Linked DNA regions of Nothobranchius furzeri. The protein of the gene in region 1 interacts with the protein of each later gene in a biochemical or structural test. Links are inferred from orthologs where the notes say so. Each region holds a gene or a part of one and is shown on either strand. Other genes may lie near its edges.

What was found.
Region 2: the proteins of psmd2 (region 1) and ube3c form a complex in vitro, tested with the Homo sapiens proteins (2 studies listed by BioGRID). The link is inferred for Nothobranchius furzeri from reciprocal best matches to the Homo sapiens genes PSMD2 and UBE3C.
Region 3: the proteins of psmd2 (region 1) and ublcp1 form a complex in vitro, tested with the Homo sapiens proteins (3 studies listed by BioGRID). The link is inferred for Nothobranchius furzeri from reciprocal best matches to the Homo sapiens genes PSMD2 and UBLCP1.

Annotation. Positions count from the first base shown.
Region 1 is NC_091753.1:19,340,085-19,351,804, reverse strand, and holds the start of psmd2 (26S proteasome non-ATPase regulatory subunit 2), read right to left. Parts: upstream 5,244-11,720; 5' UTR 5,182-5,243; coding exon 5,059-5,181; intron 3,975-5,058; coding exon 3,918-3,974; intron 3,824-3,917; coding exon 3,659-3,823; intron 2,747-3,658; coding exon 2,625-2,746; intron 2,417-2,624; coding exon 2,192-2,416; intron 2,104-2,191; coding exon 1,945-2,103; intron 1-1,944. Other genes in the region: prss59 (thymus-specific serine protease), read left to right, coding at 5,650-5,850, 6,028-6,209. UniProt on the Homo sapiens protein: Component of the 26S proteasome, a multiprotein complex involved in the ATP-dependent degradation of ubiquitinated proteins.
Region 2 is NC_091747.1:47,536,308-47,547,247, reverse strand, and holds part of ube3c (ubiquitin-protein ligase E3C), read left to right. Parts: intron 1-1,486; coding exon 1,487-1,573; intron 1,574-1,654; coding exon 1,655-1,812; intron 1,813-1,890; coding exon 1,891-2,117; intron 2,118-5,960; coding exon 5,961-6,065; intron 6,066-6,261; coding exon 6,262-6,349; intron 6,350-8,917; coding exon 8,918-9,015; intron 9,016-9,098; coding exon 9,099-9,231; intron 9,232-9,832; coding exon 9,833-10,080; intron 10,081-10,940. UniProt on the Homo sapiens protein: E3 ubiquitin-protein ligase that specifically catalyzes 'Lys-29'- and 'Lys-48'-linked polyubiquitin chains.
Region 3 is NC_091750.1:56,491,559-56,501,304, forward strand, and holds ublcp1 (ubiquitin-like domain-containing CTD phosphatase 1), read right to left. Parts: upstream 9,089-9,746; 5' UTR 8,934-9,088; intron 8,678-8,933; 5' UTR 8,515-8,677; coding exon 8,361-8,514; intron 8,224-8,360; coding exon 8,132-8,223; intron 8,021-8,131; coding exon 7,935-8,020; intron 7,842-7,934; coding exon 7,726-7,841; intron 7,575-7,725; coding exon 7,476-7,574; intron 7,203-7,475; coding exon 7,165-7,202; intron 6,827-7,164; coding exon 6,728-6,826; intron 6,418-6,727; coding exon 6,301-6,417; intron 6,235-6,300; coding exon 6,107-6,234; intron 6,011-6,106; coding exon 5,983-6,010; 3' UTR 4,238-5,982; downstream 1-4,237. Other genes in the region: il12bb (interleukin-12 subunit beta), read left to right, coding at 978-1,071, 1,175-1,276, 1,476-1,652, 2,622-2,727, 2,818-2,987, 3,144-3,304, 3,384-3,502, 3,585-3,612. UniProt on the Homo sapiens protein: Dephosphorylates 26S nuclear proteasomes, thereby decreasing their proteolytic activity. Recruited to the 19S regulatory particle of the 26S proteasome through its interaction with 19S component PSMD2/RPN1.

The DNA.
Region 1 (11,720 bases):
GTCAACAATCAAGAGAAGACTCCACCAGTGTGAATACAGAGGGTTCACCACAAGATGTAAACCATTGGTGAGCCCCAAAAACAGGAAGGCCAGATTAGTTTGCCAAACAACGTCTAAAAAAGCCTTCAGAGTTCTGGAACAACATCCTACGGACAGATGAGACCAAGACCAACTTGTACCAGAGTGATGGGAAGAGAAGAGTATGGAGACGGAAAGGAACTGCTCATGATCCTAACCCCAAAATTCCACTATCTCCGCTCCGCCCCACTTTCTGCTGCCGCCCGCTTCCGAACTCAAATTATACTCTACCCGCTCTACAACGGCTCCGCTCCGGTGCGGAGACCTGAGGGGCGCAAACAGGCATGCGTGGGATTTTCGAGATCTTGCGATACAGTCCGAGCAATAAACACGGAAGTTAGATCCAAACACCCGTTGTGTGGGAGAAGCATCGAAATGAACTGTTTAATCTGCTCATCATTAGTGTTGAGAGATCAGCAGTGTTTGGATCAACAATGGGTGTAATTTGATAGTAGAAACTGTATTTATGGCTTATTTTTGTGCATTTAAAGTTCAACCGTCATTGATAGTTGTTAAAAGTTGTTAAACCTGTGCATATGAAACAAAAAATGCTTTTTGTTTATCGATTTATTGTGAAATAACGGAAGGTGTGCTTGCTCCCTTTCCTGTTGGGCCGTTGTGATTTCTGTCCATTTACTGCGGAGGTGCTCCGCACGGCCGCAGTAGTGGAACAGCTCCGATTGACTACAACGGAACCGTTTTTGATGCGGAGTTCGTGCCGGAGCAGAGATAGTGGAATTTTGGGGTCAGCATACCACCTCATCAGTGAAGCATGGTGCTGGAAGTGTCATGGCGTGGGCATGTATGGCTGCATGTGGAACTGGTTCTCTTATATTTATTGATGATGTGACTGCTGACTAAAGCAGCACGATGAATTCTGAAGTGTTTCGGGCAATATTATCTGCTCATATTCAGCCAAATGCCTCAGAACACACTGGACGGCGCTTTACAGTGCAGATGGACAATGACCCAAAGCATACTGCAAAAGCAACCAAAGAGTTTTTGAAGGGAAATAAGTGGACTGTTTTGCAATGGCCAAGTCAATCACCTGACCTGAATCTGATTGAGCGTGCGTTTCACTTGCTGAAGACAAAACTGAAGGGAAAACGCTCCAGGAACAAGCAGGAACTGAAGACTGTTGCAGTAGAGGCCTGGCAGAGCATCACCAGGGATGAAACCCAACGTCTGGTGATGTCATGTGTTCCAGACTTCAGGCTGTAATTGACTGCAAATGATTTGCAACCAAGTAATGAAATGTATAAGTTTGCTTTATGGTTCTTATTCTGTCCCGTTACTTTTGGTCCCTTAATTGGGAGGCACATATGCAAACTGTAGTAATTCCTACACCGTTCACCTGGTTTGGATGTAAATACCCTCAAATAAAAGCTGACAGTCTGCAGTTAAAGCACATCTTGTTCCTTTCATTTCATATCCATTGTGGTGTGTATAGAGCCAAAAATGTTAGCATTGTGTCGATGTCCCAGTATTTATGGACCTGACTGTAGCTGGTGAGCCGTGCTGATGCGTGTTTGCGCGTACGTTGCGAGCGGTTCTGGTACTTTGTGGGTCGCAGCTCCGCTTCAACAGTGCGAAACCGTTGCCAGGGACAAGCAAAACATCAAACATGCAAGCTTATGATTGCTGATTGGCAGCTGGTCGTGTGGTGGTAGTCGTCTCATTATACCCTGCATGCTACACCACGCTCAGCGCAAAACTCGCCCCCATCTCGTAGATTCTCGCACGAGTGGAAAATCGGCTAAAAAAAGTCGCACGTGGGTTTGATTAGTGAAATGAAAACATCTGCAGCATGATGATTATAAACCCGTTTCGTCTGACAGTAGCAGGTCACAGAGGCGCTCTCCTTACATGTCTTTGCAGGAGGTGAAGATGTTTTCCACCAGCTCCATGTCATTGAGCATCAGAGCGAGGCGCAGGGCCTCTGGATACCGGTTAAACTCCCTGAAGATGTTCAAGGCACACCTCAGCAGAGCAGAGTTCTCTGGCTCTGGGACGTAACTCACACAGCTAGACAGACAACACAAACCAGCTTAGGTTTCACTCGTTCTGTTTACATTCTACAGAGTGAAGGAAGAGGCGTGTTTTCTGAGCTAACCTGGTGAGGTAGAGGCAGACTTTTCCGTAGGCGTTTTCATCGATATAGTTCTCCAGCATGTCCAAACGCTCGATCTCCATCAGCAGGTCGCAGGCCTCGTGCTCAGCATTATGGGCCATGTTGTACGGCACAATCTCCTTCACCAGCTTCAGCAGGGTCTCCTGTTGGGTCTTATCATTCTCCTCCACCTCCTGCCACTCTTTGGCCACCTCTCCGGCGAGGTGCCTGATGGACATTAATAGTCGAGAAAGCGGTGATCATCAGCAGAGTCGGCTCAAACTACAGAGCGTAACTGGAAAAATGTTATAAAGACTTTTCCCACATGTCCTCTAAACAGTCATGATGTACCGATGCTGCTCTGTAATCCCAAAACAAACCCAAACAGTCCTGCACCTCCTGCGTTTACATGGCGGCTGATCTGGATCAGGTTTACCTGACGTATTCGTGTCCCCAGGAGGCCAGCTCTTCCTGAGAGCCCAGCAGACGGTACTTCAGACACTCCCTCTCGCCGCTCATCGTCATGGCCAACACCGACACCACGTCAGCACAGAAACGCTACGACAAAATACACAGACGTCATGTTGTAAACCACAAGACAGACTACTCGATAAGTCTTTAACACGTTAGTTTGATTAATGTAACTACAATAGATTAGAATAACTAAATACATGGTGACCTCTAAATCTACCCAGCCTGTCAAACACAGGCTTTCAGTTCAACACCAGAAGCTGAGGGATGTTCTTCTTGTATTTGTTTCACAAAAACTGGATAAATTCACGCGTGATTATATTATAAGAAGTAAGGTAAATGAAAATACTGACTTTAGTCACATTATATGGTTTGGACTAGGGCTGGGCGATGTGGCCTAAAATCAATATCACGATATATTGAGGATTTCACCTCGATAATGATAAACGAACGATAACTACAGGTATGCGCAGAAACAACAGTTGTCCACTAGATGGGGCTGTCACATGTATTGAGTCCCATTTTTACATGACTCAAGGTGGTACAGCTTCTTAAAGGGACATGAACCTACACACATCTTTTCATTTTTTTTATTATCAAATTTATTGACACGGGAAAAATTATCTCGATAAGAGTCCGAAATTTCTATAACAATACATTTTTGATTTATTGCCCAGCCCTATTTCGACATATTTTAAAAAGATTACAGGTTAAAAGACACCCTGTCGAAAGCTCTGTTTCGAGAATTTTCACACAAATTTCAAACACGACTGTTTCCATTTGACATCGTGGTACAGCCTCATCCAGAGCTGCACTAGCAAAGTGAAGAGGTAACATCGGGTAAGTAGGGAAACATAAGGTTAGGAGACAATGAGCAGAAGCGGGACATTGAAGATGATAAAACGTGGGGGGAGGCATGACATTTGACGGCACAAAATCTTTGGTAAATGCGCTGTAACGTTGATTTTCTAAATTCTGATCCTCGCAGCAGAGACTTACCTTATTTTCACCAGGAGCCATGCCCTCATAGACTTCTTTCAGCTTGCCGTAGTGTGGGCGCAGGAATTTCAGGGGCTTAGGTACGGAGGTCATGGAGGTGGTGGAGGACCGGATTTGTCTGCGAAGCTCTTCTAATGCAGGACGATACAGCGCTGTGTTCGTGTCCTGCAGAAACAGAAGAATGGCATGTTACTTCACCTTTGCATGGTTTTGCCACGTTGGCAAACAGAAAAGTGATTAAAAAAAAACTGATACTCACACTTAGCCTCTCCACCATCATCTCCAGGTCCTCTTGTAACTGCTTATCTTCCTCTGACTGAGAAACCACAAGGGAATTCAAGATTTATTGTAATCACCACCAAACAAAATCAGGCTGGTTAACAGATCTGCAGCCTTTAAGAAGGAAATAAGAATGCCACAATGCCTTATAAACTGAGTACATAAAACTACATGAAACATTCCATCATGTTTTAAGGGTTCAGGTACTTTCTGCATGTTAAATTTAGTAGGGAAAATGGTTAACATGGCTTATTTACTGTAGATCCTAAGAAAAAAATTCTGAAATCCTATTAAATGTAATAAATAAATATAACATTGACAATTTCATTTTATTACCATAACTTTTACAAGACACAGTAGTGGCAAGGGGATCATAGATGTTGAGGCTCTCTGTGTTTTAATGCGCTTGTGTATTTTTCTGTCTAGAATACTTGTAAACTTTAACGTTTGGGGGTCAGAGACGTAAAACTTTAAACCACTGCTTTGGTTACTGAATCACCGGTTTACAGTGATGGAGGATCCTGAGATGATCTTTAGATGTAAAATTAAACTGGTGACTGAACCCACAATGGTTACAGAAAATCAGAATCATTAGTATTAATATGATCGATATTATAGGTGCTGAAATGCCGTGAGTTTGGCTATAGACGACTGGACTCATACACAGTTAACAACAGCGTAAAATAAGTTTATTTTAACAATAAATTCATATAAACTAACTGCACTAATGACGTTAGCAGCAGCTGGATTAAACACAGCGGATTCATTGACTTTATCCCAGATGCTGTGTGACAGAGGGGCAACGTGAGGCTGGTTTAACACCGATGACAGTCTGCTCAGCTAACGCTAGCACACCGGCTGGGGCAGGCTAGGCTAGCAGGACACATTTTTTGACATTGACGTGACTAAAACAATTAGCGGGTAAAGGTGGTTAAAAGTTATAAAAGTAATGTTCACGGTAAGCTAAATGAGACTTCATAAGCTGTTTATAAAAATAAATGTCCCTGACTTTGGCCTGCTCCACCGTGTTGTCACAGCGGCAGTGACTCAGGCAAAAGAACAACTCAAGCGCCTGAAACGTTAGATAGCACTTAAGAGGGGAGAGAAATCCACAAACTTACCAATTCCTGCTCCTCTTTCTTTTCTTTATCTTTCCCAGAGGACTGCTGTCCCTTTTCCTTATCCTTTTCCTTCTCATCGCTCTTTTCAGACTGCTTGTTCTCTTTCTTTTTTGCCTCCTCCATGATTGAAAGCGTTGAGTTAGCACGGAACTCGGCGACTGTGGATTCTTCTTCTTTGGTATAAATAAACCTTGTAAGAATTTATTTACCACCACCTGCTGGCCATAAGTTAACAGCGTTCGATTATGCCCGAAAATAAAATAAAATAAAATAAAATAAAATAAAATAAAATAAAATAAAATAAAATAAAATTTCTGTACTTGGCTAATTTCAGTAGTGCACATTATCAAATCTAAAGACTTGTGTCCGCACATATGTTGAGATATGATAAAACGCGTGGTGTTATAATAAAGTATCTAAAACTATTTAATATTTCAAGATGCTTATTCGGTACGGAAATCACATATAAAAGTGTGTGAATAGGAAACTCAAATTTCCTACGTTTTTCGAGCCATTTGAAGTAACACATCAGCAGGTCACATGACTTTGATCACATGCTGCCTCTCACTGTTTCCTTGATAGTACACCACCATGGCTGTTCGAGTTCTTGTGCTTTTTCTGTGTAAAGTGTCCTTATTTTTACAGCTTGGTGTGATTGTTGTGGCAGAGGGGAGGTTTTATGGCTTCAGAAAGTTTCATGTGGACTCCAGTCAGAGAGCTGGGAGTGAGGAGCAGTGGTTCACACAGAAACTGGACCACTTCAATGGTGCAGACAGCAGAGTGTGGAAACAAGTGAGTCTGCCTGATCAGCTCTGTGGCATGTTTTATGCGTGTCAGCTAATAATAATAATACTTGAAAATGTACTGGATCAATGTGAGATTGTGTTGAATGTGTCAAAAAGCTGCTGACTGTTTACTTCATCTGCACACAGCATCTGTGTAAGGCGTGTGCTCTTCTGTCTCTTCCAGAGATATTTCATAAATGAGTCCTTCTACAAGAGCGGCGGCCCTGTGTTTCTGATGATAGGTGGAGAAGGTCCAGCAAATCCAGGATGGATGCAGAATGGGACCTGGCTCACTTATGCTGAGAAGCTGGGAGCTCTGTGCTTGATGCTGGAACATCGTTTCTATGGGAAAAGTCACCCCACAGGGTACGTTTGCCGCTGTTTAACACACATGGTGTTGAGTAAGAGCTCGACAGTCACAGTGTGCATGTCGAGTCAAATGCAATAGTATGAAAGTGGCTGAAGCAAAGTGCAGGACAGCAGATAACTATATTTAGACAGAAGGTTTCAGTTCTCTGATCAGCTGAAAAGACAACCACAACCAGCTGCATTTGTGTTCAAGTTAATAAAAACATGTCTTTAGTGTTTAATGTTGACCAACCAGACCCATTTATCACTTATAATTAAAGGGGCATTATGGAAGTTTGACAGCCAAAACATGTATAGAAATAATAAATGTCTTCTTCATACATTCTCCTGCAATGCCCTGGTCCTGTAGAATGAGCCCTGGCATTTTTACTGTGATTGCCTGTTTTTCTGTAAAATCACAGAAAAAGAGAGCTGCTCGGGTCGAGCAGGCTGCTTCATGCGCGTTCACGCTCGGGCATAGCCCGTAGCATTTGCTATCAGTAGCTTCAGCAGCAGAGAGAGAGGTAGTGCCAACTCAGCGACTTTGTCGCTGTTCCTAATGCCTAGTGATGAACCTAGCTACATTTCTGAGGACCCTTAGCCACTTTTTTCTAGATATTTCCTGCAAATTAGCAACAAAATAGCCATTTTCGCTTCGAACCGTTCTTTGGTTTGACGTTGTTTCATCTGTCATCGACATCAAGGATATAAAAGTTACAGATACTGTGACTGTTACTAGAGTATAGCTCATCTTGTAAGATGTCTGACTCCCATGCAGAAGACCTGGGTTCGATTCTGGATGTGAACATAGCTTATTTAGAGTTTCTTTTTTACATTAATGGTATATTTTTTTACAGTAAGATGCCCAAATTTTTATTTGAGACTTGCCGAACGGCATTGAATTCACAGATAAAAAAGATGTGGGTTCAACTTTCATTTTGGAACAATTTTCAAGCAAGGGAAGGGAATGATCTGATCATGCAGGAGGACTGACCCATCATAAACCTTTGTCGGCTGTGCTGAAGAGAAAGGTACAGAACCACATTATTTAATTAATTAGCTGCACGTTCTCCTGTCCTCTGTCCTCCGGGCCACACACACACACACACACACACACACACACACACACACACACACACACACACACACACACACACACACACACACACACACACACACACACACACACAACGGACTGTCTCAGCTGTTATTTTCGTTAAGGAGTGTGCACGTACAGCATGCGCGCCTCGTGCACGAGCCTACTATTGAAGCTGCCGTTACGCTTTTGGCCTGAGGGGGCAATTGCGAGCATAAAAATTCAAAACTCCGTAAAGTCCCTTTAAAGGTGCTAGATAATGAAAAATATTATAATGATCATATTTTTGGTCTAAAGTAAAATCAGTTATGTAGGAAGGAACTTTTCAGAGTTCATGTTGACCGCAGACAGTGCTTCCATCAGCAGGGGGCAGAAATTAGCTGTTTAGTGAGGATTGAACATGTGACAGGATAATCATGAGACAGAATCAATACAAAACAAGCTGCATGGACATGTTTCATAATGTTCAGATTTTAGTTTACCACGAGTGCAACACTGAATTCAAATAGTTTCTGTTTGACTGATCTGTCACAAGGTGAAAACATGGGCAGACAGAGCTGCTGTAAAAGCAGAGAAGATCTGCTACAGAAACCCAAAGGTCCAGTGGGGATAAAATGTTTAAGTGTTCTTATACTTGATAATAGAACCGTAACAGAGAAATGTACTGTAAGCAACTTGCTGCAGGTTCTTCATAATTTGATTTCTGACCAAGCCCCCACAATGCGGGTGAAAAATTGAGTCCAACCCGGAAGTACCAAAAATTGCAGTTCCACCCTCATCCGCTGGGGGCTGGTGTCAGAAGCGAGCAAATCCTCATTGACTCCCATGATAAAAATACCAATTTCACAGCAGAAATAAACATGTTTACAGCCTGGTACCATAACATGTTTTTGGTTTAAATGGTCTAGTTTACACTCATGACAACTCTGAGGGGGGGTGATTTTTTTTCTCACTCTTCTGTTTAAGTGTATTAAAAGCCTAAAATTCTGTATAATTAATGAGCATCAGACCCACGTGACCACAGAGCTAGCTCCGTGGAAAGGCCTCAGTAGAGCCTCGGTCTGGCCTGGAAACTGCTCCGGGATTTTGAGTCTCTGTGTTTGTGTTTTCTTTTTTGGATATTATTTGTGCAATTGTTGGACAAAATGACGTGCTGTGGCATTAATTGCACTAATAGAATGTCCAAGGAATCTCCACTTCATTTTTTTCTATAAGTAAAATTATATTTATGTATTTTAGGTCACTGCCGAGCTGAGCTTAGATTTTAACATGTACTGTTTAACCATGAAATTTAAATGTAATAGGGTAAAAACCAGTGCATTTAACATAATGCTGCACTTTAGAAAATGGGTTGAAATATAACATGTTGGTGGAGCTGGGTTCCGACTATCGGCTTGTGGAGCTCTCGGGAGACCGATGTTTTCCACCCGGTTCTCCCCTCCCTGCAGCTCGGCGCATCTCTGTCTGATCGCGGCTTCTGACTGCTGCGCGGGCTGCCGGCTTGTGGAGCTCTGGGATGGAAACCTTTCCACCCGGTTCTCCCCAGCGGCAGCTCTGCGCGTCTCAGATCGCAGCAGCGCTTGTCTGCTGTGCAGCTGCCGGCTTGTGGAGGTCTCGGAGACCTCTGTGTTCCACCTGGCTTTACCCAGCGGTCAGCCCGGCGTATCTCTGACTCAGAAGCTCTGGTGTTGTGCACAGTTAACTCTGGTTGTAGCTAGGTTGCTACCTCCGTTAGCTTAGCTCCCACCTCTGCGTTAGCTTTGGGTTAGCTTCAGGTTAGCTTGTAGCTAGTTTGACCGGTTGATCCCAGCCTTGCAGCCCCACCCTCAGCTCCTCCTCTCTTCCCTTTAGTGGAATTGTCTGGGCTTGACGGAACCTGTGACACGGTCAAAATGGCGGTGGTGGCCACCTCCCATTTTAGCTCAAAAACTTGTTATTGGAGTCTATGGAAACACATTGTCCATATATGTACAGGTGCTGGCCAGTAAATTAGAATATCATCAAAAGGTTGAAAATATTTCAGTAATTCCATTCAAAACGTGAAACTTGTACATTATATTCATGCAATGCACACAGACCAATGTATTTCCAATGTTCATTACATTTAAATTTGATATTCATAAGTGACAACTAATGAAAACTCCAAATTTGGTATCTCAAAAAATTAGAATATTCTGAAAAGGCTGAATATAGAAGACACCTGCTGCCACTCTAATCAGCTGATTTACTCAAAACACCTGCAAAGGCCTTTAAAAGGTCCCTCAGTCTTGTTTTGAAGGCACCACAATCATGGGGAAGACTTCTGACTTAACAGCTGTCCAAAAGACAATCATTGACACCTTGCACAAGGAGGGCAAGACACAAAAGGTGATTGCTAAAGAAGCTGGCTGTTCGCAGAGCTCTGTGTCCAAGCACATTAACAGACAGGCGAAGGGACGGAAAAAATGTGGTAGAAAAAAGTGTACAAGCTCTAGGGATAACCGCACCCTGCAGAGAATTGTGACGACAAACCCATTCAAAAATGTGGGGGAGATCCACAAAGAGTGGACTGCAGCTGGAGTCAGCGCTTCAAGAACCACCACGAGGAGACTCATGAAAGACATGGGATTCAGGTGTCGCATTCCGTGTGTCAAGCCACTCTTGAACATGAAACAGCGCAAGAAGCGTCTCGCCTGGGCCAAGGACAAAAAGGACTGGACTGATGCTGAGTGGTCCAAAGTTATGTTTTCTGATGAAAGCAAGTTCTGCATTTCCTTTGGAAATCAAGGACCCAGAGTCTGGAGGAAGAGCGGAGAAGCACAGAATCCACGTTGCATGAGGTCCAGTGTAAAGTTTCCACCGTCAGTGATGGTGTGGGGTGCCATGTCATCTGCCGGTGTTGGCCCACTCTGTTTCCTGAGGTCCAGGGTCAATGCAGCCGTCTACCAGGAAGTTTTAGAGCACTTCATGCTTCCTGCTGCTGACCAACTTTATGGGGATGCAGACTTCACCTTTCAACAGGACTTGGCACCTGCACACAGTGCCAAAACCACCAGCACCTGGTTCAAGGACCATGGTATCCCTGTCCTTGATTGGCCAGCAAACTCGCCTGACCTTAACCCCATAGAAAATCTATGGGGTATTGTGAAGCGGAGGATGCAATACGCTAGACCCAACAATGCAGAGGAGCTGAAGACGACTATCAGAGCAACCTGGGCTCTCATAACACCTGAGCAGTGCCACAGACTGATCGAGTCCATGCCACGCCGCATTACTGCAGTTATTGAGGCAAAAGGAGCCCCGACTAAGTATTGAGTGCTATACATGCACATTCTTTTCATGTTCATTCTTTTCAGTTGGCCAACATTAGAGAAACAAACATTTTTTCATTGGCCTTTAGAATATTCTAATTTTCTGAGATACCAGATTTGATGTTTTCATTGGTTGTCACCTATAAATATCAAAATTAAACGTAATAAACATCGGAAATACATTGGTCTGTGTGCATTGCATGAATATAATGTACAAGTTTCACGTTTTGAATGGAATTACTGAAATATTTTCAACCTTTTGATGATATTCTAATTTACTGGCCAGCACCTGTATATGTCGATGTTTCTGACACTCCAGGCCCATTTCAGTAAATTGAACCAACACAGAAACCACTGATAGACCCAGGACGTTGACTGCCTCCAAAAACATAACAAAAACAGTAGTAAATACTTTTGGTTCTTGAAAACACTCTGTCGCTTTCTATTCAGCGTCAGAAGAATCAAAGAGATGAAGATAACTCTAAAAAATAATCCAAACTCCTCACCTGTTGCTGCTGTTCTGAGCTGCACCACTAGATGGCAGCCTTGTGTTTAAACGCAATCAGCTGACTTAAGAAAATCAGTTAAAAACCAAATACAGTCATTATAAATAATCTGTCTAACCACGATAGCCGTTCAGATTCCTCCTCTTTGTTCTGGTAGAAGAATGTTTGATCTGTTCTGGTTTATCTCAGTTGTCCCGGAGTTTGGACCCTTTTCTGTTGTGTTTTGTAAAAGTTCTTTGTTTCATTAATCGTAAAATCTGCACCCGCATCCTGCTCTGCTGGACAAAACTCTACCGTTCTTGTGTTTCAGTCCACACTTTCAGCATCTCTGATTTAGATGATTTACAAACAGCTGAACTGAATTTTTCCTGTCATTTCCAGATTTTGTCTAAACGATTGAGAACATGTTCTGAATCTGTTTTAAGAACAGGCTCAAGACCCACCTTTTTAGTTTAGCTTTTAGCTGATTACTATTTATTGCATTGCTTGTTTTATTTATTTATTTTATTTTATTTTAATTACTGTTGTGTTACACATTTATGTTGTTTTATTTCTAAAATCACATTTTATTGGATATTTTACTATCCATAGTAGCTCTTGTTATTTTACATGTTACGTATTTTAATCCTTCCAGTGT
Region 2 (10,940 bases), on another chromosome or scaffold:
CTATAGGGCCGTGTTCTGGCTGCACATCCAACTCTCATTTGGATTTCCTGAATTTGGTGTCATTTTACTGTAATTGCAGAGGTTAGATATTTGGTGCAGTTTTACTTTGGTAGTTTGTTTTCACCAGACGCGACGCTTGGCTGCTAACGGGCTCCTTTGATGAGAGGCATCGATGTTTACTTTGTTTAATTCCTGTGATTTTTGACGTTGTCGTGAAATAACAACGTTGAATCAGAGAGTTTGTGAAACTCGATCGAAACTGAAATTGAATCCGACTGGAGGGGTTTTATTTCATCTGCTGATTCTTTTATCACAGCTAAATGAAACGATCCAAGACACATCACACATGCACACGCACGCACACACACACACACACACACACACACACGCACGCACGCACACACACACACACACACACACACACACACACACACACACACACACACACACACACACACACACACACACACACACACACCACCTCTGTTGATGTCTTGACTTTGTTTATTAGCGGTTCATTCCGTGATTGAAATGGGGGGTTTGGGTTTTCTCCGGCTGTAAATCAGCTTGTCAGCTGGCATTTAGTGCTTTGTTTCTCATTTCAATCACACACCCTCGTGACTTGTACTGGCCCCAGCGCTGCCCCGTGCGGCTCTTCTGAGCCTCGTTGCACTGACAGATGGTCTGCGCTCTCCGGTGTTCATCTGACAGATTGCCGCTAATATTCATTTTCCAAAGTGAGATTTTTAGATAAATTATTTTGTAAATTGTACTAAATTGATCTTTTCTCCTCTGTTGATGCTGCTCGTCCTAAACAAGCACACTTTATTCAGCATATTACCTAACTCACCATGTTATTGTCACCTGTTCCCACCCTCGGTGTGAAGAGCTTAGCAGTTAAACACACACACACACACACACACACACACACACACACACACACACACACACACACACACACACACACACACACACACACACACTTGAACAAAGAGAAGCTTCACACCTCTGTGCAACAACTCATTGAGTATTAAAGGTATTTGGGATCTTTCCAGCATCAGGGTGAGTGTGGAAGCATGCTAGAGCTTAGGGGTCACAGCAAGGACCCGGGAGCCCCGCCTCCATCCTCCATTGTCCCTGGCCATTAAGTTAAATGGGGACTCCAGCAGGAAGCCAGGGGGCTGTTTATGACCCGAGTCGGGCATCCTCGTCAGCAACTAGTTTACTAATGGAGGGTGCCTTGCCTAAATAAAGCTTAATGGCTCGTTTAATCTCCTTTTGGCCCCCGCAAAGTGTAAAAGGAGAGAAAGGCCAAGACAATTCTCTATTAGGTCAGTGTCTTTATTTTCCTTCTTTCGTTTCCAGTTTGGGAGAGGATCTTTTTATTGAATTGTGTTGTTCCAAACAGCTGTAATGGATTTTTGTTCCTGATGCTGGTTGAAGACGGTCGTAAACGTAATAAAAACTACTGTTTCTGATTCTGCAGGCTGCTCTACAGCTTAGCTTTCAACGCACGTTTCCTGAGGCATCTCTGGCACCTGATAACTTCCATGAAAACTAAAATGATCACCGGGTGAGTTGGTGAATCGTTACACCCTCTTAATTCCTTCTGCATCCACCATGTTTCTGGTGTCATGTCTGCTTGTCTCCTCAGCTCCATGGTGCCGCTGCTACAGCTGATCTCTCGGGGGTCTCCCATGTCGTTTGAGGACTCGAACCGCATCATCCCCCTTTTCTATCTCTTCAGCTCTCTCTTCAGTCACTCTCTTATCTCGGTGCACGACAGCGAATTCTTTGGGCATGAGATGGATGGTAAAGGACCGTAGCTGTTGCAGACATGCCCTCGTTTACATGAGCACCTGTTTGAAGACACGTTCCCCCTGTGAACAGGTCAGATCCATTCGTCCATGATGCCCTTCACGCTCCTGGAGCTGGTGACTTTGTCCCGCTGTCTGAGAGACGCCTGCCTGGGGATCATCAAACTGGCCTACCCTGAGACAAAGGCGGAGCACAGAGAGGAGTACATGGCTGCCTTTCGTAGCGTCGGCGTCAAGACGAACGCCGAGGTCCAGCATTGCATTCACGCTGAGCAGAAACGCTGGGTGCAGCTCTTTAAGGTACACTTTTTATTCCCTCTCATTTTTTACTGGTTTTATTAAATGGACCTGATTGATTAACGTTGAGTTGAAACATTTTATTAATTTTTTTTGTTTGGCAACTTCAGGTTTAGAGGTTGAAGATAAAATTGTTTAGTTGACTGAGACTCCCACATTTAAAAACTTTTTTAAAATTTTTATTTATTACCAAGAAAATCAGTTTTAAATCATTTAATTCCAAAAGCTTTTGTGGATTTTTTTGTCTTTCCTTTTTCTTTAAATGCAGCTTTATTCACCTGAAATTCTTGCATTTCTAAATATAATTTATATCTTTTAAACATTTTGCCTAAAAGTAGAGCTGGGTGATAAAATAATAGCAATACTTATCTCGAGAAAGGTTTTCCCTGTTACCACGGGAACAGGTCGATAAAAACTTTTGACATAAATGATAAATGACCCGCACTTGTATAGCGCCTCTCAGAGTAAGGACTCCAAAGTGCTTTACACTACAGTTTATCATTCATCCATTCTCACACTCATTCACACACTGATGGTGATGAGCTACAGTGTAGCCACAGCTGCCCTGGGGCGCACTGACGGAGGCCGGCGAGGCTGCCGAGCACAGGCGCCGCCGGTCCCTCCTTATAAAGTTGCTATAAAGTGGCTGGAGTAGAGCCACACAACATGCTAACGGCTAATGTTTGTTCAGCTTATTTCAGGCACCATGTAGGAAAAAAATTAGCACTCTGAAAGGAAAACGATGGAGGACACAGGAAGTGACATCGTTGACCTAAAGGGCCTGAACAGTTCTGTCGTTTGGACGTAGCTCGGCTAAACAAAGTAGCTGTGCCATCAGTACGGACTAAGCTGGGGAAAGTCAGTTTTGGCTCTTGAGCCAGCGCCACCTGCTGGAGCGGTAGGATCTAAACAGATATAATCCCAGATACAGTAAGAGTGGTGCTAAGCACCCCCATTCTTTCACAGCATAAACATTATATGTTTTATTTATGATATTTAAAATTCTCCCATAATGAGCATAACAATAAAAATTATTTTTATAAATGAAACTGAACATTTGCTCTAAATAACAAAAATTTAAAATGTAAATAATAATAAATGTCTCTGCAGTAGCTCCATATTTAGCAAGATCCAAGACACATTTTTTTGTTTTATGTTTATTTACGCCATGGTGATTAGACCTAATTGTTGTGTCGTCTCTTTGTGCGCCGACGTAAAGATGTGTAATGATTATCTTTTAGAGGAAATCAGCCGTATCTGCATGAGCAGGCAAAGACAAGATAGAGCTCCATTGGTTATTTACTCAAAGGAAATGAGGCAGAAAATGGCATGAACCCAGTTCCTCTCTCATTCTACATCTTTTATTTGATTTTTCCTCCTTTTTCTGTCTTCTTTCTCTCACCCAGCTCTTAACTCTGCTCTTTTTGTTCTTGGCCGTTGCACAGAGGGATCTAAAAGTGAGTTCCGTGAAAGGTGTCGAATGCACACACAAAAAAAGCACGTTTTCATAAAAGATCTGCTCAGAGGCCTCTTTGTCAGCTAAAACGACCCATTAAAGAAGTGAAGAGCAGGGAAAATGCATTTTCCAAATTGAACGTTGGGATTTACAGTTGGTTTAACGCCGCTGACCCCTAACACGTTAATGTTTGGTTGGTGTCATCAGCCGTCCCTCTCCATCTTTTATCACCCCCATTGTCGAGCTATCTATTTAATTGAAAGAAGTTAATTGAATGAAAATGATCAACTAAGCTTGTATTAATATTGCTAATGGAACTTTCTTCTTGGCCATGTTTGGAGAACGGTGTCACATCGGAGTTTGGGAAAGGCCCATTAAGGTTTGCACTTAACCCGATGGGCTAATTAAGGAATGCTTATTCATTCCCAGAGTCAGGGGCTAGGTCTGCTCCAGACCCATCTCCACGCACATTGTACAGCATTTTGCACTTGCCGTTATTGCACACTCCCGTTGCCTCCTGGTGATTGGACGTGATTGAGTGCCGCTCTATGAAAATGACGCGCCTTAAAGGAGAACGTTTCGATTGGAATAATCCAGCTGGGGGTATTATATGGAAATGGACTGGCTGTAACTTTTATCACATCAATGACATCCGTTGACATTATTCAAATGGCTGTAACTCGCCATAGCAACAAGGCAGCCTGCTACCACCAGGGCTGCTGGCACATGTGCAGAAGAAACTTGTGATTTGAGGGTTTTGGTTTAGGGACATCATCAGAGATAAGAGATGTGCTGTTAATGAAGCAGCAGCTAGCTGCTTCAGTCGGATTAGTCGGCCACCTAGAGAGGATAAAACACCTCTTCAAGAGTTGGAGCACATTTGAGCTTTAAAACTGCGTAGGCAATTATTAATATGTTTGGAAGTTTTGTTGTAGTTTTCCTTTAGCCTGGCAAGCCACCTTATATATTTAATATATAACCTGGCCACGACCCATAGACAGATCAGTTGTACACTGTAAAAACTCAATAGGGTTTACTTAAAAAAATTAAGGGAACAAAATAACACATAATAAAATTAAGTAAATTTAAATTTAAAATTCTGTAAAATCTAGAGAAAATTTTAATTAAATCTGTACAAAAATATAAGTAGATATTGATGCAATTAAACAGTAAATGTGTGTTAGATTTAGTGTGAAAATCTCAAATTAATTGTTAAAATTACCTGATTTGAACCAAAAATGAAGTTTAGATCAAATAAATTTTTGTGGAAAGGACTCAACTTTTCTAAGATTCTTAGTTAAAACAACTTAAAGACTCAGGGTTTACCTTACACAGGAATTCCAGAGCCACAAAATCCTCCCTCTCTCACGGACGGCACACGGAAGCAACCCCCCCCCCCCCCCCTTCCAGGTGACACATGAAAGCAAACCCCCACCCAGTCAACTAGCACCATGGCACGAGACATTTCTAGGGGAACCACTGATACCCATAACAAATAAATACAATTGTATTGTTTTTTTAAGTAAATTCAAATTAATCAATTTCACAAAGAAAACATGTAAACTTTAATTGGTCTAACTGTGGAATATAGGACCAATCAGAGCACAGAACAACACAACGTATTAATCGCTATGGAAACCAGTCGGCTGGACACCGTCCCTTTTGGAACGTACATGATTTAAGTACCTCTTATCTACTCATGTCTCAAAGAAATGTCCAAATTGTCCAAAGTTGATGCCAGTCATTCTAAATTAGCGCTGTTCCTAAACCAACTGTATCTTTGTACATTTGCTTCAGCGTCTCTACAAACGGAGCGCTCTGATTGGCCTGGCCTAAACTCAGCCGAGCCAATGGTAGACTGTTGCTTCTGAAGCTACAATCGAGCGTGCTAGCATGCAGAGCAAGTACTTAGCTACTGCTATGTTTCGTCTAGATTTCTAGGCTTGTTTTCATCAATATTTCCAAGAGATCGTCAACCTTGGGTTTATTGGTATCTCTACTGCAAAATGAAGCAATCCTGTTGCAGAGTAGCGATAAATTACCACTTTCATCTATTTAAAGAAAGAAAATGGATTTTATTTGTTTTTAAATGCCATTAACTGCAAGTAGCTCTGTTAACGGTGAGGCTTTTGCTTCCCCTGCCCGATGGCTGATGTCAGCAGACCTCGCTGGTAATTAACAGGGCTGGACGTTGAGCAACGGCGCAGCTCGTTTTTCTTTTATACTCCCATAAATGCTGCATTAATGGCCATATTCTCAAATTGATTTTTTTCCATAAAGCCCCTCATCTCTGTTCGAGAGAATATTGTGGGAAAACTTGTTTATTTATTTTCGTGTTGTAATGGGCGAGTTTATGCTGACGTGATGGGTGCGCTTGATCTACAATGCAGGTCATCACTAACTTGGTGAAGATGGTGAAAGCTCGTGACATCAGACGACCCTTCTGTCCAGCAGGTCACTGGCTGTCTGAGGAGGTCAACATCCGAGCGGATAAGGTACTCAGCTGTCGTCTTTTTTTTACTTCTTATCTCTATTTTGCATTTTTGTTTGATTCAGTGTGAAACTTCAGTCAATTAGAATGAATTTTTCAAATATAGTCTTTGATTTATAGCATTAAAGGTTTTTTTGTGTGCGTATAGATGTATCCTTCATCTAGATGTAAGGGAATCATCAGGAGTTTTTTTTGTCCAGGTCACTCAGCTGTATGTCCCGTCAGCAAGACATGTGTGGAGAACACGCAGAATGGGTCGAATCGGGCCACTTCAGTCAACTCTTGATGGTGATTTAACCTATTTGAATTTTGCATGATAAAAACAAACCTTTTACAAGATAAATCACTCAAGATTGTTTTTTGTGTGTGCAAAAATAAGCACACTAAGTTCCCCTAAGCTCAGATTTATTTGCAGAAAATCTAAACAAAGCCATTAACCTTCCTTGTTCTCACTAAGACCGATTAAACACATCCCTTCATTGCCTCCATTAACCTCAAGCGAACGAAAACACTTAGGCAGGCTCACTTTGAGCCATACAACATGCCTGTGATGTATAGTGTGAAAACAGGCATATAACAATGTGTGTATGATCTCCCTAATGCCGCTCAGGCTGTATGAGATAAATTCAATTAGTGTGAGAGTACCTGATGAACTCAGCCACATCTGCTCCGTGTGTTTGTCTGGCCTTTTCTCATTTCCTTAAATGGACAAGCCCAAGGCTGATAAATGAGGCCCGTATTGACCACTCCGAGGCCATATTTCTCCTCAAAGATGGAAACCTGATGGGAAAATGCAGATCAGGTTGACTAATTGAGCAGAATAATTGAGCTGTAGTTGGAATGGGAAAGGGTGAAGAGTAGGATAGTGATTGTGGCTTGAAGCGAGGGTGGTGGGGGCGCTTAATGGTCCAAACTCTGGGTTTAAGCAAACATTAGCCTATTGGATACATCTCAGCAAGTGGACAGACTGCTCACAGATGAGTTAATTAAAAGAGTGTTATTAAAAGGCTGTTGGACAGATATGCCATTAATGGTTGGTTTGTAAACAGTCTTAATCACAGTGTTTAGCTGTTAGGAAGGATAATGTAGGGTGAGTGGGCTTCTGCTGTTAGAGCAGCTATTGCTAACAGTCTCAACGTGCCAACGCTGGTTTGTGACCAAAGCTATATGGAAAGTAAAATGGAAATTACACCTTGTAGCTGGACTGTTACCAATGGGAAAAAAAAGTAAATATCAAAATACGAATCAAGAAAATTACTTGACTGAGTTATTTTCAATGACTCTGCATGCTTTTTCAGATTTTCTCGAATTCAGAACCACATTTATCTTTGCTATCTTCAGTATGCTTTTCTATGTAACTCAGTAATGTTGTAATGGTCAGAACAGCTGGTACAACACGTCGAGCATAAGCACACCACCTTAAATCTGCATGTCCCAACCCACTTTAACGTCTGCAGTCTATAAACGTTAATAGCGGTAATACCAACTGTAGAACAATGCTATCCCGAGCTACAGCTAACGCTGGCTTGAGCTACTGCCAGTGCTAACCCAAACTTCTGCTAATGCTAGCCCGAGCTTCTGCCAACGCTAGCCTGAGCTTCTGCTAAAGCTAGCCCGAGCTTCTGCTAACTCTAGCACGAGCCACTAATGATTGAAACTCGAGCTACGGCTAACGTTCTTGTTGGATAAGAGGAAAACAACGAAGAAGAATGTTTAGGCACATTTGTAATTTTTTGGAATGTACATTTTTAGGGCTTCTGGTTCATTATGAGCCCAAACAAAGTTTCATAAGTTGCATAAAGGCTCAAATAACAGTTTTCTTTTCTTTTATTTTGTTAAAATGTAGTTCTAGAACCTGTTTTCTAAACCCCTTAAGCCCTAGGCCTATTTTGAAGCCTATTCCTCGAAAAATGGTAAAAATTGTATTTAATGGTAAAAATAGTTTAGATAGCCTTGTAGTGCTGGGTTTGCTAGGGCTTAGGCAAAATACATCGTGTACAGAGTGCAGAAGGCTGCTAGGTGGAGTATCTTAACTAGTAGATACACAACATAACAGTCAAAACATGCTAGGGCTCAACAGTTTTAGGGAAAAATTCAGTTTCAATTTCAATTTGATTCACAATTTTCTTTAAATCAAGCTTCAGCACATTTTTCACGATGTACTGTAACATTTACAAACATGACAGGAAATGACATCATACCATCAAAACATTAAAAGCTGCTTTTCTAATATTACATAGATGAAATTGAAAGTTAAGAATTGCTTTCAAGTGTATTATTTAAAAAAGAAACATGCATTAAAAGTTTCCCTAGCATTGTTTCACCAAGGTGGGTCCACCTTCACACCAATCGCCAAATGCCGACAGATTTTACTCGCGTTCTTTGATACCATACTATACCGTACTATAACTCCACAAAGGTTTGTGCCATCAGAAAATTTCAATATCCACATAGTGTTATTATGTAAATCCTTTTTGTTGCAGGAAACGAGCAAGTAAGATTAGAATAAGAATACCTTTATTTGGCCCTCAGTGGGGATATTGCAGACTCACTGTCTCACACTCAAGAACAGCGCAGAGTGAGGGACAGACAATTGCGACAGAGACAGACGACCACATTAATAAATAATATTGGCCACAGTAGTGCCACGAAAAGGAAAGCAAACTCGTAAAAATAACCAAATGTGCCACTATTCTGAAATTACAAACTCGATCAGAAATTGACAGATTGTTCATTCCTAAAATTTGTCTTCCATGAAGTATTTGGGAGAAACATTTAGTAAAAAATTGAGTGTATCTTGACAAGTGGAAAAGTTGTTTATAATCTTATTTAAAATCGGTTTATGTTTTACTGCAGTTGGTCTGGAGCCTCTGCAGCTATCCGTGTCCGAGGAGAGACATCTGGCCATCCTCACCGAGCTGCCTTTTGTTGTTCCTTTTGAGGAGAGGGTGAAGGTATCAGAACATGTTTCCTGTTCTACGTGTCTGAACTCTGAGGATCATTACTGACTGTCGCTGGGTTCACGTCCGCCCTCTAGATCTTCCAGAGGTTAATCTACGTCGACAAATATGACGTGCAAGGAGACGGGCCGTTCCCCGATGGCATCAATGTCACCATCCGACGCAACTACATCTACGAAGACGCCTACGATAAACTCTCTCCAGAAAACGGTACCAGCGGCGTCTTCGACTTTAGCAGCATCTCCTTACTTTGTGTTCTGTTTTGTTTGTGAAATCGGCCTACATTACATCCTGTTTGCGCTCACATGGTTCCAGTGAATGTTTCTGAATGTCTTATTATGTTCTATAAAGCCTCAGTAATGAAGATCCAGTTTCCAGTTTGCATTAAAGATGAAGAACGCCGCTCTCCTGGAACAGACTATTGGATTTCAGTAAAGCATAATTGTGATTCTGATTATTGTAATGGATCACATAAAAGCAGAATCAATTATTTTAAGTCACCTCTTTTGTGTTTGAATTTGAAAGGCTACTTCAGCGAGGGGGTGGGCAATCTGATTAAAAAGAGTAGTAGGAGACCTGGACTGAAGACATGATCTATATCATCTATGTGTCCATAAGTTATAGCCGCCTTGATTTATCTTTGTACCTTTATTATTCTGAAAGATGACCTGAAATTGATTCGAATGTTTGGCAAGTTAAGAAAGGGCTTCAATGAAAAGTGTGTTTTTTAGGGATTGTTTTGTTTTGCTTTAATATTAATGAATTTGTTTCTTGTTCCATCGGATATTTATTCTTTGTGTCCTTAAACCAGAGCCGGATCTTAAGAAAAAGATCAGAGTCCACCTTCTAAACGCCCACGGTCTGGACGAGGCAGGCATCGATGGTGGAGGCATCTTCCGCGAGTTCCTTAACGAGCTCCTCAAGTCGGGCTTCAATCCCAACCAGGGATTCTTCAAGACGACCAACGAGGGCTTGCTGTACCCCAACCCTGCTGCAGAGATGCTGGTGGGGGACTCTTTCACGAGACACTACTATTTCCTGGGCAGGATCCTTGGAAAGGTGAGCCTTTCAAAGTCAAATTTAATAAGATGTAAAGGCCTAGCCTTCCTTCCATGTCGGAGTTGAGAGCCAGACGCCTTTTAGAGTTTTTACAATACCAGTACATCAACATTACCTGGTTTTTGATCAATAATATTTTAAGACTAACGTGTTTTTTTTATAAGTAAACTGATCAAAAATGGCAAACTTTCTGTGCGACTGGTAAACTACAATTTATTTTTTATTTATTTTGTTTCCCTAACTAAAATGTACGGGAAACTACAATTTAACATCTTTGTACAATGAGTTGAAAACACAGAATTTAAATAATAAATAAAAAAAACAATAAGTTAGTATTTACCTTTTAGTGCAAAACAAACACAAACTGCATGAAGATCAAGTTTAAACTGCTATCGCTTCTTTGGTTAAAAAAAATGTCTGCTCTCTAAAATCCTGAAATATAAAACGTTTATGTCCCAAGGAATTAAATAAATAAACATACAGTAGAAATGAAAAATGAAACAAGTTAAAACTATGTACACTAAACTTTATTCTAGCAATTTTTCTTCAGAGAAAAGGAGCCTGATGTCACCACCGGTTAGAGATGGACCAGGCAGATATTTACCTTTTTTTTTTTTTTATTGGCATCGGTCGACAATTGTCCTCAGTAAAGGCAGGCACATCCTCGGGCAGCCTGGTGCCTGGTACATTTAATTTAAATGTATTTTTACATTCACTAGTAACATCTGCATAATAAGTACCCTAAATGAACTTTAAGATTTAACAGTTAGTTGAATTCAGAGTCAAAAACCGCATCAGCTTTGGAAATTTTGTGCATCAACTGATGTTATTAGTACCATTTTAGCATGTAAATAAGGTGG
Region 3 (9,746 bases), on another chromosome or scaffold:
TGGTGGTTATAGTGGAGAAGATAAGATAAATACCAGAAACTCCTTCATAGATTGTTCTGATGAGTGTTTTATTGAGTTCATTCAGCAGTCTTCTGTGTGACTGGACCCCGAAAAACAAACTTTGTTCATTTTGGTTTTATCAGGAACTGACTTGCTCATGTTTTTGTTCTGAAGAATCCTCATGATCATGACAAGACACCTGGTTTCTTAGCTCACTTCCTCCTCAGTGGTCAGCGTGGCCGAACAAGCGTTCACCTGATTTAACTTTCAGAGGAACTGTGACCGGTCTTTTGTTTGAAACTTTTGTTAGTTTTTTTTTTCATTTAAGCAAATTTCTGAGGGAAAAAATTGTTGATTTTTATAAATATGATGATTTAATTCTGAAAAATTGTTCATTTGAATTTGTTATCATTGTTTACACTTTATCAACAAAAGACACACACACACACACACACACACACACACACACACACACACACTGAGAAAAAGAGAAGGGAGGGGGTCGGGCTTTCCAGTCTTCTGCTTCTTCATTGATAAATACTCCAGCTGCCTGCTGAGATCAGTCAAACAGCACTCACTCAACAAAGCCTCATCCTGCTCTACTTTTAAAATCTGAACATTTTGGACCAAATTTGGGCATCAAGGTAATTTAAAAAATCTGAATTCATGTACTTTCTGCTCTTGTTATGCGTGTTATTTTGTTATAAGTCTGTTTCACTCAGATTTGATTTATGTACATATTAAAAAGAGCAACAACCACCAATGATGACACAGAAGAGTAAAGATATGTTTTTTTATTCATTTTCTCTCAACGATATAACATTTTCAAGCAGGTTTTTTTGCAACTTTGATGTGACACACTATTATTGTGATGAATTCCTGTTCAGCAGCTTAATCTGTTGAGTTTTGACATTTTAAAATTACCTAACAAATAATATTTGTATGTAACCCGCATAACTTTTTGTCATTTCCTTCAGATGCATTCTCTAGTCCTGATGGTTCTGTGTGCTGGTCTGAGCTTTGCCACCTCTGATAGCCAAGATCATAACCAGGAGACACTGATGGACAATGGTTCTTATGTTTTTCTTTATTCACAATCCTTTAATATTTCTGTTACTTTTTTTTTTACCTTCTGTGAAGCCAATTTGGACTTCTTCTGCTCTGGTTTTCCTAGTTCTGGTTCTGAGGGTGTCTCACGTTCACGGTTCGAGGATCAAAGTGTCTCTCAGCTGTGGAGAAGCGTATCAAGACAAGCCTGTGTTTTGGAAAAGAAACGGTAATAAAACTATCAGGTTTTCCTGCGCACACACACACACACACACACACCTTTGCCGGTAATTAAACATTTAATGGTAAATATAATAAAAGGTACTATAAAACGTGTAGCCTGTATTACAGATCAGGCACAACACAGTAAATTTGCTCCTTTTTTAACGTTTATGGACACTTGAGTGTTTAACTTGAATCTGTCTCAGGTGTGGAGCTGACGCCGGCGCTGCAGGGCAACCGGGTCACGGTTCTGGTGAGAGAGATGAACGGAGGGAACTACACTTGTCATCTTAGTCCAGACGGAGAATACCTGAACCACACTGTGATCCTGGTCCAGCCAGATAACAGGACCGTCATACTGGAGGAAATCTCTCCTGAAGGAGGTGAGATAAGAAGGATGGAGGGGCGTTTGAATGGGGTGTTTATCGAACCATACAATAAGCTTTTGTTGCAGAAAAAACTGCAAACAAAAAGAGATAAATATTAAACAAAAACAAGTCTGTTGCACCTCCACTTTGGAATGAACTTCCTTTATTTTTACATTTTATCACAATCTATAAAGGAGCTAAACCCCAATTTAAAATCGCTTTTGCTTAAATCTTTTGTTGTTTTATGATCTTTTTTAGTCTTGTTTTCATTTTTATGTAAATTTTCTTTGTGAAGATCGTTGTGCTTTTTCTTTCTGTGATTGGTGCTTTAAAAATAAGCTTTACTTACGTTACGACAAGAAAATACTCATGTAAACTATGAACTGGCCTTGTGATAAATATTCTAGATTGCAGATTTAAAAATTGATTTTTTCCTTGAAGCTCAAGTGTAAAAAATATTCTTTATCATCAGAAAAATTCTGGTTCAACATGATTAATTTTGGCCTATTTAGGGCAAAATAATACCATAAGGTTAGTCAGTTAAAGTACTTTTAGACGCATTTGTTTTTGACTACCCAGTAATTGTTAGTTAGGGGAGTGTATTGGGAAGAATCTGGAAATACGATATTCATCATAATACTACGATAAATTGTGATACTAAAATCCAGATGATATTTGCATTTTTTTATTTTATCAGAAGACTCAAGCCAGACTATTCCAGGACAAATCCAGTATTAGAAGAGCTGGTTGTCCCGTCAGAAAGATGAAGGTCAAATCTGCTGCCCCCTAGCAGTGAGAGTTTGAATTGCACTGTTTGTATGTAAATTCTCAATGAAAATTGATACTCTGCTTAGAAATATTGTTACAATATCATAACATGTAATTTGCAATATTTCAGTGTGCCAATATGTTCGTACATCCCTGTTGTTCGCGATGAAAATTTTGAAGTGCGGATGTGTGAACTGACTGTTTTTATTCCTGCAGGTCACATCCACTGCTTGGCCCCAAACTACAACGGTTCGTTCCACTGCAGCTGGACCAGGACGCAGCACCGGTCCCACGCAGCTGTGCTCCTGGTCAAGACAAACCGGTAAAGGCACTCCAATGTTTTCTACTCCTATAATGTCTCACGGGTCGTGTCCTGATCAGGATGTAATTTCACCAACCTGTTTGGTTCCAGTTACATGGACAAGATCCCCTGTGAGCTGGAGGCGGATGGATCTGGGGTTATTTGCCAGGACGCTAGCTGCCCTTACAAAGAGGAAAGGCACCGCATCACTCTGACCGTTTACATCCACAGCTACTCCCGCCTAGAGGCCTACACCCGGTCTTTCTACCTGAGAGAGATCGGTAAGTGGTTTTATGTACTTTTCATTGTAAAAGTGGAGCTTTTCTTGTATATTCTTGAACTGTTGATGCACATATAACCAACTAGACTTCTGCACATCATTGATCCTCTGTATCCATGCTTATTGTTAAGTTTCACCCTTTTCCTCTGTTCCTCAGTGAAGCCAGAAAAACTCCCTAACCTGCGAGTCAGCAGTGGCCAAGTGTTCAGCTGGGACGCCCCCGACTCCTGGGACAAGCCCGGTTCCTACTTTGGGCTCCACTTCCAGATTAAAGTGGCCCGCATTGGTCATTCCTGTAGCAGCGACAAGCCCATTCTGGTGAGAAAAACGCAATTCAGACGCTGACTTCCTGTTCATCCCTTTGTCTTTATTTATTTATTAGTTTATTTTTGCACAGACTAACATTACCGAGGTCAGAAAGTATGAAGTGAACATCACGTCCAGGAGGTATGTTTTCTGTGTGCGTGCACAAGACAAACACACCTTGGGACCGTGGAGCAACTGGAGTCAGTGCACGTGAGTTGGAAACGACTGAAGGTGTTACTAAACAGTTAAATATGATTTATTTGATTTCATCCTGTTTTTTTTTCCTTTTTAGAGTGAACAAAAGCGATGTGGTCTGCTAACTCATGCTTCTGTTCGGCTGCCAGGAGAGAAGGAAGAAAAGGTTGATGGAAAACGGTCTTTCCCTTAATCTGATTTCTTGTTACATATTTTTTTATACAAGGCAGAAGCATAAATGTACAGTATTTATTCATCTTTCCCTAAATTGATTCATCATTTTCTACCTTTATCTATAACTTATTTCTATTTTTTTAATAATTTATAATATTTGATAATAAAAAATTATACAAGCATCTTAATTTCTTGATGTTTCTGTGACTTTGTGATCATCTGAAGCACATTCTGAGGCTGCTTTTGATTTATTATATGAAACTTTGAAAGAGACAATGAGTCGTTTTTACCATTAATCTCTGAATATATCTGTTGAAATCTTGAAGATGAATTAAATGATGCCCAGTTGTTAAAACATATTGGCAGCTTTGTAACATATGACCATAAAAATCAGGTCTGAAGTACATGGGAGTGGGTCTAAGGCCCAATCTCAATACTCACACTGCACCCTTCAGCAAAGTGCACTTGGAGAAAGTGCACAGTAAGGCTTCCAGTGCGTGGTACGCAAGAGTGCAAATAATTGGGACGGGGAGCATTCATCAGTGACAGCAATGCATGCTTGGATGTTGGTCGCTATACCTTTTTTAAAAAAAAAACTTTATTAACAACTTTCAAACAACCAAACAATTATTTGAAATTAATTTACATGTCTAAAACATTCAGTGCATCAACTAATTGTCCTAAAATGCACAACTTTCAGCAGAAAATACGTTTTCAGAAAAGGCACTCCCACAGCAATGGATTGTGGGTAATACCCTTCACCCAAGTCTGCATCGATGTAGACTTGGGCAAAGTGTGGATCAAGGGTGCAAAAGGGGCGTGATCAACTTCCGCACTTGAGAATCGGGACACCCTACGCACTCGCACCCCTGGTTGGGATTGTGTTTCCTTCTACGGGAGCCCGTAAGGACAAAATGCATTTACTGAATTGTAGCACTTACACAACTTTCACCATTCATAAATGTTGTTTCACGCATTTATGTCTTCGCTCGCTGCCAGTGATGAAAGGGATTCTGATGCGCTCGTCATTTTGCTGGAGGTTGTGCTCCCATGGATTTTTGACCCTAATGGCCATCCGTTGATAAGGTCTTACGAGCACTAAAATTCAGCTTGCTTGCAATGATGTAGGTATACTGCCCCGCCCCCTACACCCAGAAAAATACACACTGTCACTTTAAGAAATGTTTAAATTACTTTAGCATTAACGAAGAGCAGAGACAAGTTAGGTTTTAAAAAAATGGGAACAGAAGGTTTATTTTGATATTAGCAGCCACATTATCAGGAACATCATTAAATAGAATAAAAAAAATAAGGACTTCAATTTCAAGCATTCTGAAACTTGTCAGAAATGTTTCCATCATCATTTAAACTCAAGATATTAATACAACTATTTCAAATGCTAAAAATAGGTATTTTTCTTTTCTTTGTTCTTTTCTCACAAACAATCTACCTATAACAGTTTTACTTCAAATCAGAAACAACAAAAATGAAAAGGGAGAAAACTATATTTAAATGTGCTGCAGCAGCATCGTGTACAAATGTACTCATGGAAACCTGATCACCGCTGCACGTTTAGAAAATAAATGTTTACCACCCTGCAGGTCTGTGTGCAACCACGTCTGCGATGATTACCAACGTTAACACAACTTTCTCCATCAAAAACGTGCAAAACAAAGCTTTGATGAAAGGGTTTGATGTTGTTTTATCCCACAGAATCATCACTGCATGCCGCTGAAATGTAAACACCTTTGATTTCAAACTTTTTAATACAGATCTCCATAACAACTTGAACATAAGGGCCTTCCCAGATATGCGGCATAAATGAGTAACTGTTACATGATAAACGACTGCTGAGTCGCTGAAAACACTTTTGATATTTTTGATGTAATTTGATGCTTTCAGTGTTCCACGGAGGAGGAAAACATCACTCACTGACCTGAACCTGAATCGTTTATTCCATCTATCTTGTTACGGAAAGAGAATTTGCAGTTGCACCAGAGTGTGTTTACTTTTGAATAAATTTAGCTTTACGGTTATGTTATCAGACAAAGCCGCAGGTCTTCATGAGCTGGTTCAAGTTAGTGTTGTCGGAGTAAATTATTTTTATTTACCCAACACACTTAAGAGTCGTAATTACCACTGATGTTGTAAAAAATTTAAAAAAATAAAAAACATTTGGGAGAAAAACGGTTAGGTTGAACACATGCATATGGATAATTACAAAATCTTTGTCAGTTCCGAGGTGAATGAAAGGTGTTTGACTTCAGTCCGAGACCCAGAACGGGGGACGGAGGCGTCCAGTCCAGGTGTTTGGAGTTAAATCAGTGAGGCTGCCTCTTAGATAGGTACCTGCACAAATGATCAGATCGTTTTATGAAAACTTTCTACAAGACCATATAAATATTTGGGATGTTTGTTTGTTTTGGGTTCCACATGTTCTCCTACCTCTCCCAGTGTTTGTGGTTGAGTCCACTGAAGTCCTCCAGCTTGGCGATTTCTCTTAAGTACTGAGCCAGTTTATAGAGCTCCCTGTCCTTCTCTCTGGTGAGGTGGGCCTTCATGAACGGTCGGATCTAACACGGGTTTACAGGTAAGTCTCGGCTCAATAAAGATGAAAAAAGGAGATGGGCGGGGCCTACCTTTAGTCCATTCTGTGGATTCATGAGGAAGTTTCGTCCGATGTCATCAAACATGATGGTGTTCTTCCTGTTGTAGAACTCTCCATACTTCCCCCATATCACCCCTAGAGGCTTCACCTGGAGATATGCAGAAAATCATTGTTACTTTCAAAAACCTGTCAAAAACACCAAGAAGGAACTGCTGCAAATGTGTTGGCATCGCTGATGGAGTCACTGTTTGTGCACAAACACTTTGGTTGTTAAGTCCTAACTCCTCTTAGCTGTAAGCATCCTAAACCATTTATCTAGACTGTATAAAGGTAATAAAATATTGCACAAACTAAAGCTTAACAAAATAAAAGAATTCTGCAGCTAAATGTGATTTCTGCTTCTACGTTTGTGTAACAACAGTGTGTGTAGGTGTGTGTTTTATTTTGTGTTTACTGACCTCCACCACTCCTCTTTTTGGAGTGTGTACGGTGATCATGGCTCCACTATCCAACATGAATGTAATCTTGTAGTTTGGGTTGTCTGTCACACCGAGCTCCTACACACACACACACACACGCACGCACACACACACACACACACACACACAACTCAAATTACACCAAGGCAATGAAAATTACATTATCAACACTTCCACCTACTGGTGTTATTATTAATTTCAATTATAACTGTTTGGATTTTCACTTTTTTATTGAGCGGCTTTCAAGATAAAAATTCAATATAATGAAAACAACATTAAAAATGTTTTTAAGATAAAATAAAAATGAAGATTGAAAAATAAAAATGACTGGTCTTGCTCCTGACTCGGAAAAGGACTACTGATATAATATGTGAAGTACGTTGGTTAAAAACTGTTAAAAGATGGAGGATACTTGCTTTCATTTTGGCTTCTATCCACTTCATACTCGTAGCAGCTACAGAAAAAAAGTATGAAAATCAAAAATAAAGCAGAGCAGTTCACTTCAACAAACATAATATTTTTAATAAATAATATTAACACATACACTGATCCTATTTTATATTCTTCTTTTTTAACGTGAGGAACGCCTCTAATTCAAAGTGTTCCCTAAAATAAATCTTGTGCCCATTTTTGACATAAATAATCAGATTATCAGCCTCAGGGATCAAAGTTACACATATATATTGTCTGTTCTAAAGCAATGACAGAGTCTTAAGAAGATGCCTACACCAGATGACGATATCGTAGTCCTCATATGCTGATGTAAGAAACTCATGAAGGTATGGTCTCATCAGCTCCTGACCCATTTCTGCACATGACTTGTGATCTAAACACAAAAACAGGATTGATTCAGCGTGTCTTAGATGAGAAGATGCTGATAACGTTGCACAAAGAATCTATGAGTAAAAAAATTACAGAAAAGAGATAAGGAGTTGAAACAAATCAGTGGCATCTCACATTGCTTCCCGACAACTCACCAAACAGTGTGTAGTCCACGTCCAGCACCAGAAGTCTTTTGCCTTCTCGGGGAGGGTTAATTTCCTCCACCTTATACTCTTTTATTCTTCGGGCTATTTTTGCGAGGTTCTCCTCTCTAAAAGGAAAAAGAAAAGCTTGATGTACACACATGCAACCTTTCTGAGACTCTTCGAGGGCTCCGATACCAAATAAATCCAAATTATCTCACCTGTTCTCGACCTCTATGACCTCCTCCTCAATGTCAAAATCATTGATGACATCATCATTTTCTGGGGGAGGGGCTAAAACATCTTCCTTTACAAAACAAAACATATGCACAGTTATAAGCGTAGCAGGCCGATCAGCTCACCGATCAGCATGCAGTTAGTGTTTGTCACCATCCTGCCTAATCGTCTCTCCACCCACCAGGCTTTCTTCTCTGGTACCCATCATCATAATTTTGGTGTTTGGCTTTAGTTTCAGAGAGCCCAGCTTCACCTCGTCCTCTGCAGGTTTACCTGAAGACAGAGTTTAAAACAAAGACTCAGAAGGAAACGATTTACTCCACGTGATTTAAAAAAATGCATTTCAGAAATCAATGGTGTAATCTGAATGTTTCTTTTATTCTGGTTTCATATATTTACACTCTTCTAACCTTTAATCTTTAGTCCAAGAAGTTTTTGTCTCTCTGGCAACACCCCAGTCAAACTCTTAATGGACTGTTTCAGGTCCATCACAGTGTCCTCCTCAGACAGAGAACTGATAGAGTACTCCTGTCCTCCCCACTTTATGATCACTGATACCGACATGGCTCACACACACACACACACACACACACACACACACACACACACACACACACACACACACACACACACACACACACACACACAGGCTCTTCACTCTCACGGGTGCAACATAGATCTTTGTGAAGACACCTTTAGTCCCAGCAACAACTACATGCAAGAGAACCTGGAAAAAAGTACACAAACAGGAGGTCTATCAGTTGGCAGAGCTGCAACCGGAAACATTAAACAAAGACTGCTCTTGTAGAACACGGCTTCACTCTAGTTTTTCTGATCATTTAAATTCAAAGGCTTTCAAAAAAGACACAATTTGTTCCCGATTATTTTAGCATGTGTTAGCTAACTCTAACTAGCAGCGATGTAAACACTATCTAAACTAGCTAGGCTATGCTAAGTATACACCACAGTTTGGGCATTCTTACCCGTTAAAACGAGCTAACGCAAAATTATGTAAAAATGCTGTAAAATTATGTATCTATTGTTAGTGAATAAATTAAGTTTGCGGTTCAGTTTTCATTCATGGAGAAACGCACACGGTGCTCTTCCGGGCCTCCCGAATCTTTCCGGAAATGACGTAATACACAAAGCTTTGTTACCATGGTGACTAGCATAGACAATAAACTACTCTAATTTAAATGTTTAGAGAAATTGGTTTTATTATGTAAATAAATACAGATTGGAAATCCAGCTAAAGTCCTCACCCGATCATACAACACAAACAAGCACAGCGAATCTACAAGATACGTTAAACACAAGTGTTTTTGTACGTGTGTTTGTGTTTATGAGGTAAAATCACACAAACTATTTACACTGAATAACAGTAGAAGAATTTGAAGAGCCATTAGCAAAGTTGACACATTTTACTAAAAAGTGGCGGTCATTAAAAGTTTTCAAATTTTCACTTTTTTTCATAGAATTTGCTTCTTTTCAGCTAGTTTAAAATGTTCTATGTTCATGTTATGGCAGACATTTGGACTCAAAAGTGTAAAAGAAGCACAGCTGCTCTGGTGAAACGTCTTAATTTTGGTATTAAGGTCATTTTAAAAAAAAATGTAGAGATACTTGAGAACAATAGCTGAGGATATTAGCAGGGACAAAAGTACAACATAATAATGTGTATCTTACTTTTTCACCTTTGATCTGAGCATCGACATATATACTGGACAATTCGTTTTCATAGGCTTCATTTATAAGTTTTTGAGCCAAAATGGGAGGTGGCCACCACCGCCATTTTG